Canis lupus familiaris: one gene and its partners. The protein of the gene in region 3 interacts with the protein of the main gene of each other region in a pairwise test. Links are inferred from orthologs where the notes say so. Each region holds a gene or a part of one and is shown on either strand. Other genes may lie near its edges.

Region 1 (4,424 bases), on a different chromosome or scaffold from region 3:
AAGGGACACCTCAGGTGGTGACAGACCTTCTCCATTCCCGTAGGGGAAGGCCACTGGGCCCGGGCCCTCGGCATGGCCAGGAAGTGATGTGTGGGGTGGCCCCTGGTCCCTGCCCTGGGATCAGGAATGCATATGGCTCCACTGTTGTAGCTGAGACCTTTGTTCCTTTCAGGCCTTCGCGGGCCTTTCGTTAACCTCCTGCCCAGGGTCCCAGGGAGGAGCGCCTATCTTTAACAAAGGATGTGGATTTCCTGCTTGGTTTTAGTTTGTTTGAATTTTATTTTTGTCTCAAAAGCCTGAGACATCTTTCTCTGCCACACAAGCCAAAAGAAAACAAGCCTTGGGAGGTGGACTGTGGGGACTGGACATGCCCAGAGAAACAACCTGTCCCAGAGATAGAATCTCAATTTTGGACTGGGGGTAGGTAAAGGAAAATGAGGCCTACATGATAGCCAGTGAAGGAGGCTGGGAGTTTTAAACAGGTGGGACTGGAAGGCAGGCCCCCCGATTGCTCTTCCTGGTAAAGGCTGGTGGGTTTTCATGCTGGAAAGGCTGCCTTGCTCACATTTTTCATCCTGTGTGGTCTCTAATTGGAAAGGGAAGTTGCATTCCAGTGTGAAAAAGAAGCCACTTGGCTACCTCCCTCTAGGGACTTCACGGCAGGGCCTCTGTCCCTGCAGACCTAGAAAAAAGGGCCGGCTCTCTGTCCAGGGCAAAAGGGGCTTTGGGCAAACCAATTGGGTGGCAATAAAATGATTAACAAGGGCGAGAGATTGATCCCATTGGGGCTCGGACAGTGCTTGGGGATATCAGGCAAAGTGAGACATAAGAGAAGCCCTAGAAAGGAGAGTAGGGGGCCCCTTGAGTTAAGATGCCAGCTGCTGATGGCTGGGGGCCTACAGGAAAGAATTGTCATCCCAACGGTCTCATCGTAAGTGGTCTTCTGAGGTCTGTGTCCATTACTGGCCAATAGCACCTTCTAGGCTGCTTCCACTTGGCCAACACTAACTACAGGCCAATATACCTGCGGGAGACCTTGTTTGTTGGATTATTTAGAAACTCCCAGGAGATAGACCCCCATCCAACTTGTACCTGTAAGCAGAGCCTGCAGAATTCAGAGAGCTGCCTTCAATTCTTCCTTGTCCAAGAAGGAGCATCAAGCCATCACATTTCATGCTTCCTGCTGGCATGGTGAGGCTGCATCTACATAATTGGTTATCCAGTATGAGCAACCCCAAAGCCCCTCCTGCCCCCCAGCTCCAGTGGCAGAGGATGGACACTCTCCTCTGAAAAGTTTTTCCTAATGGATTTTTTGAGAGGTGGCCCCTATTCTGGGATGAGCTGTAGGAGAGGATGGCAGAAAAGAGATAGAAGGTCCCCTCTGCCTCACATACTCCACTGGAGTGTCTCTTCTACCCCTGACCTGCCTTCTGTACTGGAGGGTACCTCCTGCTGGGGCTGGAGGTGTTCTCAAGAATGTCTCCCCACATCCCACCTGCAAATATCTCTGAGAGGAGCAAGCCCTCCAAGCTGCTATTAGCCAATACCCCAGAAAGCAACATCCTGAAGGGCTCAAGGGAACTGACGAGCAAGGGAGACACTATGAGACCTACCTTGTTTAAATACCAGCCCCCAGCTTTCTATCCTACCACCCTCTTCTCCCCCCACATGACTCTTCCTCTCTATCCCATGACACTCATTGCCTCCTAGCAACACTACAACATATAGCTACCTGTTCATGCTTGCTATCTACGTCCCACCTGATGTAAGCTCCATGAGCGTAGAGACTTTAACCACACTTGTTCACCAATATTGGTGAATATTGTTCACCAATATGTTCCAAGTGCACAGAACATTTCCTGGCACCTGGTAGGTACTCAAAAAATACATATTGAGTAAATGGGCTGAATGTGGGATATGGTTGCATTATGGTATGTGAAATATTAGATGAAGCCTCCAAAAATAAGCATAAGTTGGGCCTGTGATGCTCTTAAAATGGCCCGGCCTGCCCTGTATTTCCTTTGTTGATGAAGCTGAGAATCTTCCCATGTGTTTACCAAACATTTGTGTGGGTTTTTTTTTTTTTTTTCTCTGTGTGTGAAATGCCTGTTTTGTCTCTTGCTCATTTAACCCCTTGGATTGTTTGTCTTTTTCTTTTAGACTTATAGGAATCCTTTATATATTCTGGAAACCAATCCTTTGTGATTATATGCATTTCTCCCAGTTTGGAGTTTGTCTTTTAATTTTCTTTATGGTGTAATAATTTTATTTTTTTAAAGATTTTATTTATTTATTCATGAGACACAGAGAGAGAAAGAGGCAGAGACACAGACAGAGGGAGAAGCAGACTCCCTCTGGGGAGCCTGATGTGGGACTCAATCCTAGAACCCCAGGATCACCCCTGGAGCCAAAGGCAGACTCTCAACCACTGAGCCATCCATGTGTCCCTATGGTATAATAATTTTAATGTAGTTTCATTCATTAATCTTTTCTTTTAGGATTAGTACTATGTCTTATTTAAGGATGCTTTCCCCCCCCCAGAACTCATAAATAGATTCTCCAGTATTTTTTCTAAAAGTTTTAAAGTTTTGCTTTTACATTTAATTCTTCAATCTGTTAAGAATTTATTTTGGGGGATGAGGCAAGTAGATAATTTGTATTTGTTTCTGTCTAGATTCAGAGTGATGCTATTAATCTGGGACCATTTAAGCCCCTTAAGAGTTTCTTGGGTTCAATGTGGCCATCTTACCTTGCTACTGGACCAAGGCTCCCATGCCCAGACTGGCTCCCATATTGACACTTATTCACAGGTCGACTTTTACTCCTGGATGCAATTTTGGATTCATCTTCCATATTCTGGGGAGAAAAGGTTGGAAGAGAACTTAGTCACCATACTTCCTGTAAGCCTAGCAATGTCTTCAAAATTATACTTCATTTAAGAATTCAGGATCTAGGGGCACCTGAGTGGCATGGTCGGCCAGGCATCCGACTCACAATTTTTTTTTTTAAGATTTTTATTTATTCATTTGAGAGAGAGAGAGAGAGCACACGAGTGGGGCCAGGAGGCAGAGAGAGAAGGAGAAGCAGACTCCCCGCTGAGCTGGGAGCCCCATGTGGGGCTCGATCCCAGGACCCGGAGACCACAACCTGAGCCAAAGGCAGATGTTCAACCATCTGAGCCACCCAGGTGCCCCTGACTCATGATTTTGACTCAAGTTATGATCTTAAGGGATGTGAGATCAAGCCTTGCATTGGCTCAGTGGGGAGGCAGCTAGAGATTTTCTCCCTCTGCTCTTCCCCCTTGCTCATGTGCTCTCTCTCTCCCTCAAATAAATAAATCTTAAAAAAAAAAAGAATTCAGAGTCTAAGAGTTTTATAATGGGACAGTATTTCAGCATATCTGTGGTCCACCAACTCTTACCCTCTATTCAGAGAGCAGATACATTTTAATTCAGACTGTACACTCTAGGTCAAACTACCAACTTAAGAAACAATTACTCTTGCAAAAGTAATACACATTCACTGTACAAAATTTGAAATAAAAAAGTACAAAGAAGAAAATTTAAATAATCTATAGATAAGTTCCCATCCTAGGGTATAACATTTTTAATATTTGAGTGTGTGTAGTGGTTTGAGTGTGGTCTCCCAAAAGTTGTGCCCACCCAGAACCTTTAGATACTATCATTATTTGGAAAAAGGGTCTTTGTAGATGTAATTAAGTTATGGATCTCAAGAGGTGCCTATCCTGGATTAGTGTGGGCCCTGAAACCAATGCTAAGTCCTTAGAAGAGGAGAAAAGAGCTAAATAGACATGGGTAGATAGGCATGTGAAGACAGGAGGTAGAGACTGGAGTCAGGCAGCCACCAGAAACAAAAGAAAAGATTCTCCCCAAGAGCCTCTGTAGGGAGTGTGGCCCTGCTGACACCTAGATTGTGAACTTCTGGCCTCCAGAAATGAGAGAGAATAAATTTCTACTGTTTTAAGCCACTCAGTTTATGGTAATTTGCATTAGCAGCCCTATATAACCAATGGTATAGATCTGTTATAGGTCAACTTCCCCAAAAAACAGCTTCAAAAGCAGAGATTTGCATACAGGTAGTTTATTGGAGAATTCTCTCAGAAATGATGCCTGCAGGGTTATAAGAGAGGTAGGGATTGGACAGGGGGAGAGAGAAACTGAGAGGTGGTTGTCACAGAGGCCTCAGCCTATCCAGGAGCCCTGACGCTGGCACGGCCTTTTAGAACTGTCTACCACTGACGCCAGGGAGCCAGACCCGCAGCACCTGTATTAACCAGTCATGGATGTGGGGGACCCCGTGGGAAGGTAGTTCTCTTCAGAGGCAAGCAATGTCTGGGAGAAGCCACCACTCCTAGGATCTGGGGAAATGAGACCCTTGGTCCTAAAATAGGGAAATAGGGGTGC
Region 2 (3,646 bases), on a different chromosome or scaffold from region 3:
CCGACAAGCTGCAGTCGTGGACGGTGTCTGTGAACGAGGGCCGCTGGGTGAGGGGCTGCTCTGCCGGAGGCTGCCGCAACTTCCCAGGTGGGAGAGGTTCAGGGTGCGGGAGGGTCCAAGCAGAGCAAGTTCTGAGTGGAACTGAGTCTGTGCTAAGTTCCAGGTGTATCTTCTCGTATGAAACCCTCCCCATTTTACCGAGAAGGAAATGGCCACGCTGAGGAGTGTGCAGTAGGGGGCTGGTGACAACTTTTAAGCAGGATACTGTGTCAGAATGATACTGTGTCCATAATGCTGAGGATGGAACTGGAAACAGCAGCGACTGCAAGGGTGTGAGCCAGAGAGGATGAAAGCCAGAGCCAGTCGTGAGCATCGGAGATGGAGGGAAGGGGGCAGATTTAGGTGACAGAATATTGGGTGAAGTCCCTGAAGAATGACTTCAAGTTTGAGGGGGCCTGAGTGGATGGGGTCAATGTCGCAATATAAGACACAGGAGGAAAACTCTGTGTTGTTTTTCAGTGGAGTTGGTCATGGGCTTGTGGGGAGGGGAGTTGAATTTGGGACATAGGAAGTTTGAGGCACCTGTAGAATATCCAAGTGAAGTTGTGTCGTAGAGAATTGGGTGCACAGATTAGAATGGTACTTGGTTGTATGATTAGAACTCAGTATATGTTTGTGGAAGAGAGAATGGAAAGAAGAGAAGAAGGAGGGAAGGAAGGAAGGAAGGAAGGAAGGAAGGAAGGAAGGAAGGAAGGAAGGAAGGAAGGAAGGAAGGAAAGAAGGAAGGAAAGAAGGAAGGAAAGAAGGAAGGAAAGAAGGAAGGAAAGAAGGAAGGAAAATAGAAGGGAGAGAGGAAGAGAAGGAGGGAGGGAGGGAGTCAAATGAAAATGAGGGCTGGGATCTTTATCTCAGGCATCATCAGTGTGCAGGAATGGTTAAAAAGTGGATAAGACAGCCTCGGGGGGGCAGAGTAGTGGGGTGTGAGAGAGGCCTAAGAGCAAATCCCAGGCACTCAACGGCAGAGAATGAGAATCCCAGGTCAGAGAGAAAGGAGGAGCCATCCAGCTCGCAGTGGGGCTCCGTCTGTATAAAGGTATAGGCTATGCCCTGCTCCCCCCACATAATTTGACAAAGGCCTGAATCATTCCTTCTGTATTTTTTTTAAGTTTTCTTTATTTATTCATGAGAGACACAGAAACAGGCAGAGGGAGAAGCAGGCTCCTCACTGGGAGCCTGATGTGGGACTCGATCCTGGATCCTGAGATCACGCCCTGAGCTGAAGGCAGAAGCTTAAACACTGAGCCACCCAGGCATCCCATTCCTTCTGTATTTATTGAGCACCTAGATGCAGGAGATAGATCGGCTGCTTCTGTCTTATTTCTCTTCCTGCCCTTTCTCTGAGAGGCAGATCTGAATGTACATTTCCTTCCTGGGGGGCACAGACACTTTCTGGACCAACCCACAGTATCGCCTGAAACTCCTGGAGGAGGACGACGACCCTGACGACTCCGAGGTGATCTGCAGCTTCCTGGTGGCCCTAATGCAGAAGAACCGGCGGAAGGACCGCAAGCTGGGGGCCAACCTCTTCACCATTGGCTTTGCCATCTACGAGGTGTGCAGTTCCTAATGGTTGTCAGCCCAAGAAACACCCACATTCCTCAGCGGGGAGGGTCTCGGAGGGCTTCCCCAATACTCAGTGACCCCCAGAACTCCTGGTATCAGGTCCACTTGAGGCAGAATCTCTTAGATATTTTTAACAAGTAGGAAAAAACCAGGATGGGGGAGGTGGAGTGGGGCTGGGGCTGGCCAGATAGGTAGATGGGAAATCAGACTTCTGCATTCACCCCACAGTTGCTAGCATTCCCTTCCTGCAAGTTTTTCATCTCGGTTCAGATGTGAAATCCACAGGATCTGAGCATCTTTGTTTTCTGTTTCTCTTCAAGGTTCCCAAAGAGGTATAGAAGTGGCAGCGGCCAGCAGTGTGTGCAGCATTGCCCAGGGGTCCTGTGCCCATCAGTGGCACATCGGGAAGCTTCCTGGTGGGGTTTGAGGGCAGGACTGTGACGGGGGAAGGGGTCTTGCCTGTCACAAACTCCAGAGAGTACCTCAGGGTACTGCATGACCTCCCGACTATCACTGTCCCGGTGTGCCCTTTCCTCCTTCCCACCAGAGATGGTCACACACATGCTCTCATGAATTCCTATTCACTTCTGCTCACACACTTACTCAGATTCATATGCTCTTGCACTCACAATTTACACACTCACACACACATTCTGAGGGTGACTGGAGGAATCACCTCCCTCAAACTCCAGCCAAGGCCCCTCCTGCCTCCTTGGGGTTCTTCCCCAACCTGGAGGTGATTTGGAGCTGACCAGCAGCAGTTCTGGTAAGTGGGGGAATGATAGACTTGACCTTCACTTTTGAATCACAACAGAAAAGGAGGAGGAAATGGGGTCGGGAGCTCCAGGGATATTGAGCTATTTGAGGCCTTGGGACTCGGAAGTAGGTAGGTCATGACTGTGAACTGGGTGGCCAGGGATTCGGGAGGAGACCCCTGGAGGGGCTGTTGTGAGCAGGACGGGACATCCTTGTCAGGGAGCTCAGTCCCTTGGCCCTTCTCTCCCTCAGATGCATGGAAACAAGCAGCATCTGCAGAAGGACTTCTTCCTGTACAACGCCTCCAAGGCCAGGAGCAAAACCTACATCAACATGCGAGAGGTGTCTGAGCGCTTCCGCCTGCCTCCCAGCGAGTATGTCATTGTGCCCTCCACCTATGAGCCCCACCAGGAGGGAGAATTCATCCTCCGGGTCTTCTCTGAAAAGAGGAACCTCTCTGAGTGAGTCAGCCCCACTTTCCCCACTTGTCCCTAAAAGCCCTTGCGGCCCATCCCAGAGATTGGAGACATGAGGTAGCTGGACCAGTCCCCTCCAGGAGTCCTAGGATATGCTGACCAGCTGCCCCTCTTCCTCTGCTCCTGAGCCACTGGCCACATCTCCTCCATTCATTTAGACAGTCTGTCATCCCACAGATATTTATTGAGCACCTACTATGTTCCAGGTGCTCTTCTTCTAGGCACTGAGGACAGGGCAGTGAAATAAACAGAAATCCCTGCCCTCATGGAGCTTATCATTCTGGCGTGAGACAAGGATACATGGAGGAAAAATACACATATGTATGTTAGAGGGTGATAAGTGATAAGAAGAAAGGAAGAAAGAAAATAGGGAACAGGGATAGGAAGCATTGGGGGGGTGATAGAACTTTTAGGTAACGTGGCCAGGGAAGCCAGCAAGGCCATATTCTGCATTTTTGGTTACTGTAGATGAGTTCAGAAGCCCAACTACTCTGAACTCTGTCCCTGAAAGAAACACAAGGTGCATGGGTCTGACTTTGGGGAGCTCTGGGCAAAGCCAACAAGAACCCATGTGTGTGTCCTTGGCTGCTGGGGATGCTGCCCACATGGGCGGGTTCTGTGGTAGGAGATATTAGTTCCTGGGGTTCCTTTGAGCTCCGTCTGGACTCAGTTCTGAGAAGCTGTGTGACCTGAGCAGATCCGCTCTGTGCTTCCTGCTTGCTCCTGGTGACACTGAGACCCACCCCCCTCATGTTTGTGTTTCTCACAGGGAAGTTGAAAATACAATCTCT
Region 3 (3,646 bases):
GGATGGGCCAGACTGGGCCACAGCCTGCCTGTGGTGTGCTGGGTGAGAGGGGTTCCGGGCTCAGCCCTATGGGCTGGGTGAGTTCCGGTCAGGCACTGGCCCCTTGCTGCCTCCTACCCAGGGGAAACTGGCATTCATCATCCTTTTCTCCTGGGGTCCTGGGAGCAGTGCCCTATGGGGGCATGTGACCCAGTGGGGAAGCCCACTGCTCTGGTTCCCAGCTCCCCAGCTGGCGTCTAGCCCCTTGGAGGCGTACTGTGTGACCTTGGCTGTGGCCTACCTCTTTGGCCCTCTGTCTATTCCAGCTGTGGCCTTGTTTCCAACATTCCCGACACTCTGAACATGCACCGCCCCCCTCCGCACGCCAGGAGCCCAGGGACAGCCTGGGGAGGGCAGCTTCCCTGTGACCTACCTCTTGTGCAGGCTGCATCTTTCCCCAGCAGCCGCTTGGCTGTGTCCACTTCCCCATCCCAGGGTTTTGGTCTGCAACTTCCCAGTGTGTTTGGATGTGTAAACTGAGGCAGAGAGAGACAACTCAGAATCAGAGACTCACACCTGGAGTGTCTCAGCCCACACTGAGGGTGAGGCTGAGGCTCGGAGTGCAGGGAGGAAAGCCCCAGAAGGAGGTGGGCTCCTGGGTCTCCCATCTCTGGGTCTGGCCTGTCCTCCCTCCAGACCTGCCCTGCCACTCCTGTTGGCCCTGGCCCCTTTTCTGGATCCTGAAAATTTGCTGATACAGAGAATCATGGGGCTGGAGATGTGGACTTTCTTCCCTGTCACCTGTTTTTCAGCCAGGAGATGGTGGGAAGTAGAATGTGTTGAGTTGCTTCCAAAAAGCTCGATCAAAACAAAGACAGATATGTCACAGGCAACAAAGGGATGGTGGCTGGGGGCCCTGGAGAAGGAAGGAACCAGGCAGGTGTTTGCAGGTTGACTTTGGGTGACTGGCTCTCTCGGACTCTCCTGGGTGCCTCGATCCTTCCATACCTGCCCTGTCCCCTTTTCCACCATGAGTTAAGGTGGCTGGTAAGCCTCCGGATGCAGAAGTGCTGAAACTAGGGTTGCAAGATGTATCAGATAAAATTACAGACACATACAGGCCCCTGAATTTCAGCTGAGAAAGAAGTTTGAGTGTAAATATGTCCCATGCAATACATAGGATATACTTATAGTAAAAGCAAAACAAAACCACACACTTTTTTTTTCATTGTTTATCTGAAATTCAGTTACCTGGGCAGCTGGTATTTGGCAAATCTAGCTGTAAGTGAAAAATACACTAGATTTTGAGGAGTTAGTGCCTAAAAAGGAAGGTAAGACATCTGAATAATGATGTTTATATGGATTACGTGTCAAACTGAAAATATTTTGGACGTCTTAGGTTAAATAAGGTATTAAAATTAATTTCTACTGGTTTTTTTTTATGTATTTAACGTGGCGGCTGGGAAATTTCCACATGTGGCTCTGGTTAAGCTTCCACTGGACGTGGACACCTGCTGCTCACTGCTCATGCCAATTCCCGGATCGGATCGGCAGCGGCAGTGAAAGCCCCGCCGTGTTCCAGGAACGCTCTCAGTCCCTGGGAAACGACACAGATAGGGCACCTGGAACATTGCAAGCAGCGGGGCAGGGTGCTTTGGGAGAGGTGTGTCCCTCCTGAGCCCAGTTTGGCCATCGGGGCACTGAACTTGCAAGGCGGTGACAGCTGAGGGAGGGGTCCCGCACTAAAGAGGAACTCGGATGCAGCAGCCTCCACCGGCCCCCCAGGCTCCCCTAAACTCCCTGCAGGTGCTTGGGAGCTGAGGAACCAGTGGAAGTGAGGCTATGGTGGCCTCAGGGTGCTTCCCTGGGGGTCCTGGAATTGAAAGGATCCTGTGTGCCTCCATATCAAAACAACCATTTTTCTCTCCCTACAAAAAATCCTAAGACGATTCCCAGGGGCTGCTCCTGGACCCCCTCTCTTCCTTCCTCCTTCGTGGTGGCTCCCATAGTATCGCCACTGGCTGAACACCTCCAGGCTGTAGACCAAATGGAGACGGAATGTTCTTTACACACAGCTAAGGCTCAGAGAGGCCAATCTTGAGCCTCAGCTCACACAACATGAGCTGCAGAACTGGGGCTTGAACCCAGGGCTGGGACTGCAGGGTCTGGGTGCTTCCAGGGAAAGGGCAGACAATGAACGAGCAAAGGAACAAAGTCTCATTCCTGCCTGGAGCACGGAGGCACGGCCTGGGGAACTCACTAGAACGGCCTAACTTCCCCCATGGCCACCTTCTTTCTGAGGTGCCCACACGTAAAGCTTTTTGGGGACTGGAGCATTTGATCTGTGCGCTGGCCCAGTGAGGAGAGTCTGCGCGGTGCTACTCTGCAGGTGAGGAAGCCGAGGTCCTGGTAAAATGCAGCCCCAGGTCACCACACACAGTACAGTGGGACTGTGACCAGGTGCCCTGGCACAAGGAGCCCGGGCCCTTCCGGCACGTGACACCAAAGCTAATATTTGCCTTCACCACTTACAAAGGGTTGTCACCACCTTATCTCACTGACTCCCCACAACCAGGGGGTAGGCAAATATTTTCAATAACAAGTTCAGTTTGCAGATGAAGAAAGTGGGGGGACTTGCCCAAGGCCACTCTTCCCAATCAGGTGGCGGAAGGGACTCACACTCTGGTGGCAGAGCCATGCTGGCTGCCCTAGGACAGTGGTGTGAGCTTCCAGGGACTGGCCCAGTGTGGGTTCATGACCCAGGGAGTCACCACAGATACAATTCAGGTCAAAGTTGGAGGAGGCCTGGTCCCCTCTTCCCATGGAGAGAAGCGGGGAGGTCAGGAGCCACGCGGGCACAGTGTGGAGTCGGCCCCCAGGGGCGAGTCTGCAAGGGGTGCTCAGCCCCATCCTGTAGCCACATTCTCTGCTTCCTGATTCACCCCTCCTCTCCTTAGAAACTAGGGGGTAAGTTATAGCCAGAGAGTGAACGTGCCTGCCCTACGTTTGGGGTGGAGTGGGTCCAGCCCAGCAGTCAGACAAATGGGGACTCTGGCTCCATCACTCTGAGCTGTGTGGCTTTGGGTAAGTGACTTAAGCCGTCTGAGCTTGACTTGCCTCGTGTGTGGGATGCAGACGGCCCAGCAGCTTCTCATCCCTGAGGCTCATGGGAATCGCCTGGTGCCAGAATCTGCAGTCCCAGAGATTCTGACCTCGCTGGGCTGGGGTGCAGCAGACCCCTGGGGAGCTTTAGCTGCAACTAGCATGTCCAGTGGGGCCAGAGGCCTCACTGCGGCCGCTGGAGGATGAGCTGAATCAACAGAGCCTGGAAACCACCTGGCCTGTGGAGGGGCCCAGCATGTTAGTGCCCCTCCCAGCCTGCGGCCTGACCTTTGGGGGCCACAGTCTTTGGGCAGTCGCATGGAAATACATCTTCAGAAAAGCCAGATCACCAGGACTGCAGGGGAGAGCTGGTGACCCCGGTGGCGGTCTCGCCAGGAGCCCCAAAGCACCACCGACTCAACCACTGGACGAACCTCACTGTCGCCTTGCTCATGTACCGTGACTCGGTTTCCCCAACTCGGTTCTATGCCACTGACTTTTGAACTCAGAGGAGGACCTGACATTTGTCCCCTTGGCATTTCGTCTCACGCATCTGCACAGCCAC

Evidence for each region.
Region 1: the proteins of OSGIN1 (region 3) and BCAR3 interact in binary tests that used the Homo sapiens proteins (3 or more experiments, as listed by UniProt). The link is inferred for Canis lupus familiaris from reciprocal best matches to the Homo sapiens genes OSGIN1 and BCAR3.
Region 2: the proteins of OSGIN1 (region 3) and CAPN3 interact in binary tests that used the Homo sapiens proteins (3 or more experiments, as listed by UniProt). The two-hybrid records come from large-scale screens. The link is inferred for Canis lupus familiaris from reciprocal best matches to the Homo sapiens genes OSGIN1 and CAPN3.

Annotation. Positions count from the first base shown.
Region 1 is NC_049227.1:55,859,706-55,864,129, reverse strand, and holds the start of BCAR3 (breast cancer anti-estrogen resistance protein 3), read right to left. Parts: upstream 2,831-4,424; 5' UTR 2,750-2,830; intron 1-2,749. UniProt on the Homo sapiens protein: Acts as an adapter protein downstream of several growth factor receptors to promote cell proliferation, migration, and redistribution of actin fibers.
Region 2 is NC_049251.1:9,664,835-9,668,480, forward strand, and holds part of CAPN3 (calpain-3), read left to right. Parts: coding exon 1-87; intron 88-1,442; coding exon 1,443-1,612; intron 1,613-1,943; coding exon 1,944-1,955; intron 1,956-2,631; coding exon 2,632-2,840; intron 2,841-3,624; coding exon 3,625-3,646. UniProt on the Homo sapiens protein: Calcium-regulated non-lysosomal thiol-protease. Proteolytically cleaves CTBP1 at 'His-409'. Mediates, with UTP25, the proteasome-independent degradation of p53/TP53.
Region 3 is NC_049226.1:68,855,922-68,859,567, forward strand, and holds part of OSGIN1 (oxidative stress-induced growth inhibitor 1), read right to left. Parts: intron 516-3,646; coding exon 413-515; intron 1-412. UniProt on the Homo sapiens protein: Monooxygenase catalytic activity. Involved in regulation of cytokinesis; promotes RHOA activity, probably acting locally at the midbody in late cytokinesis.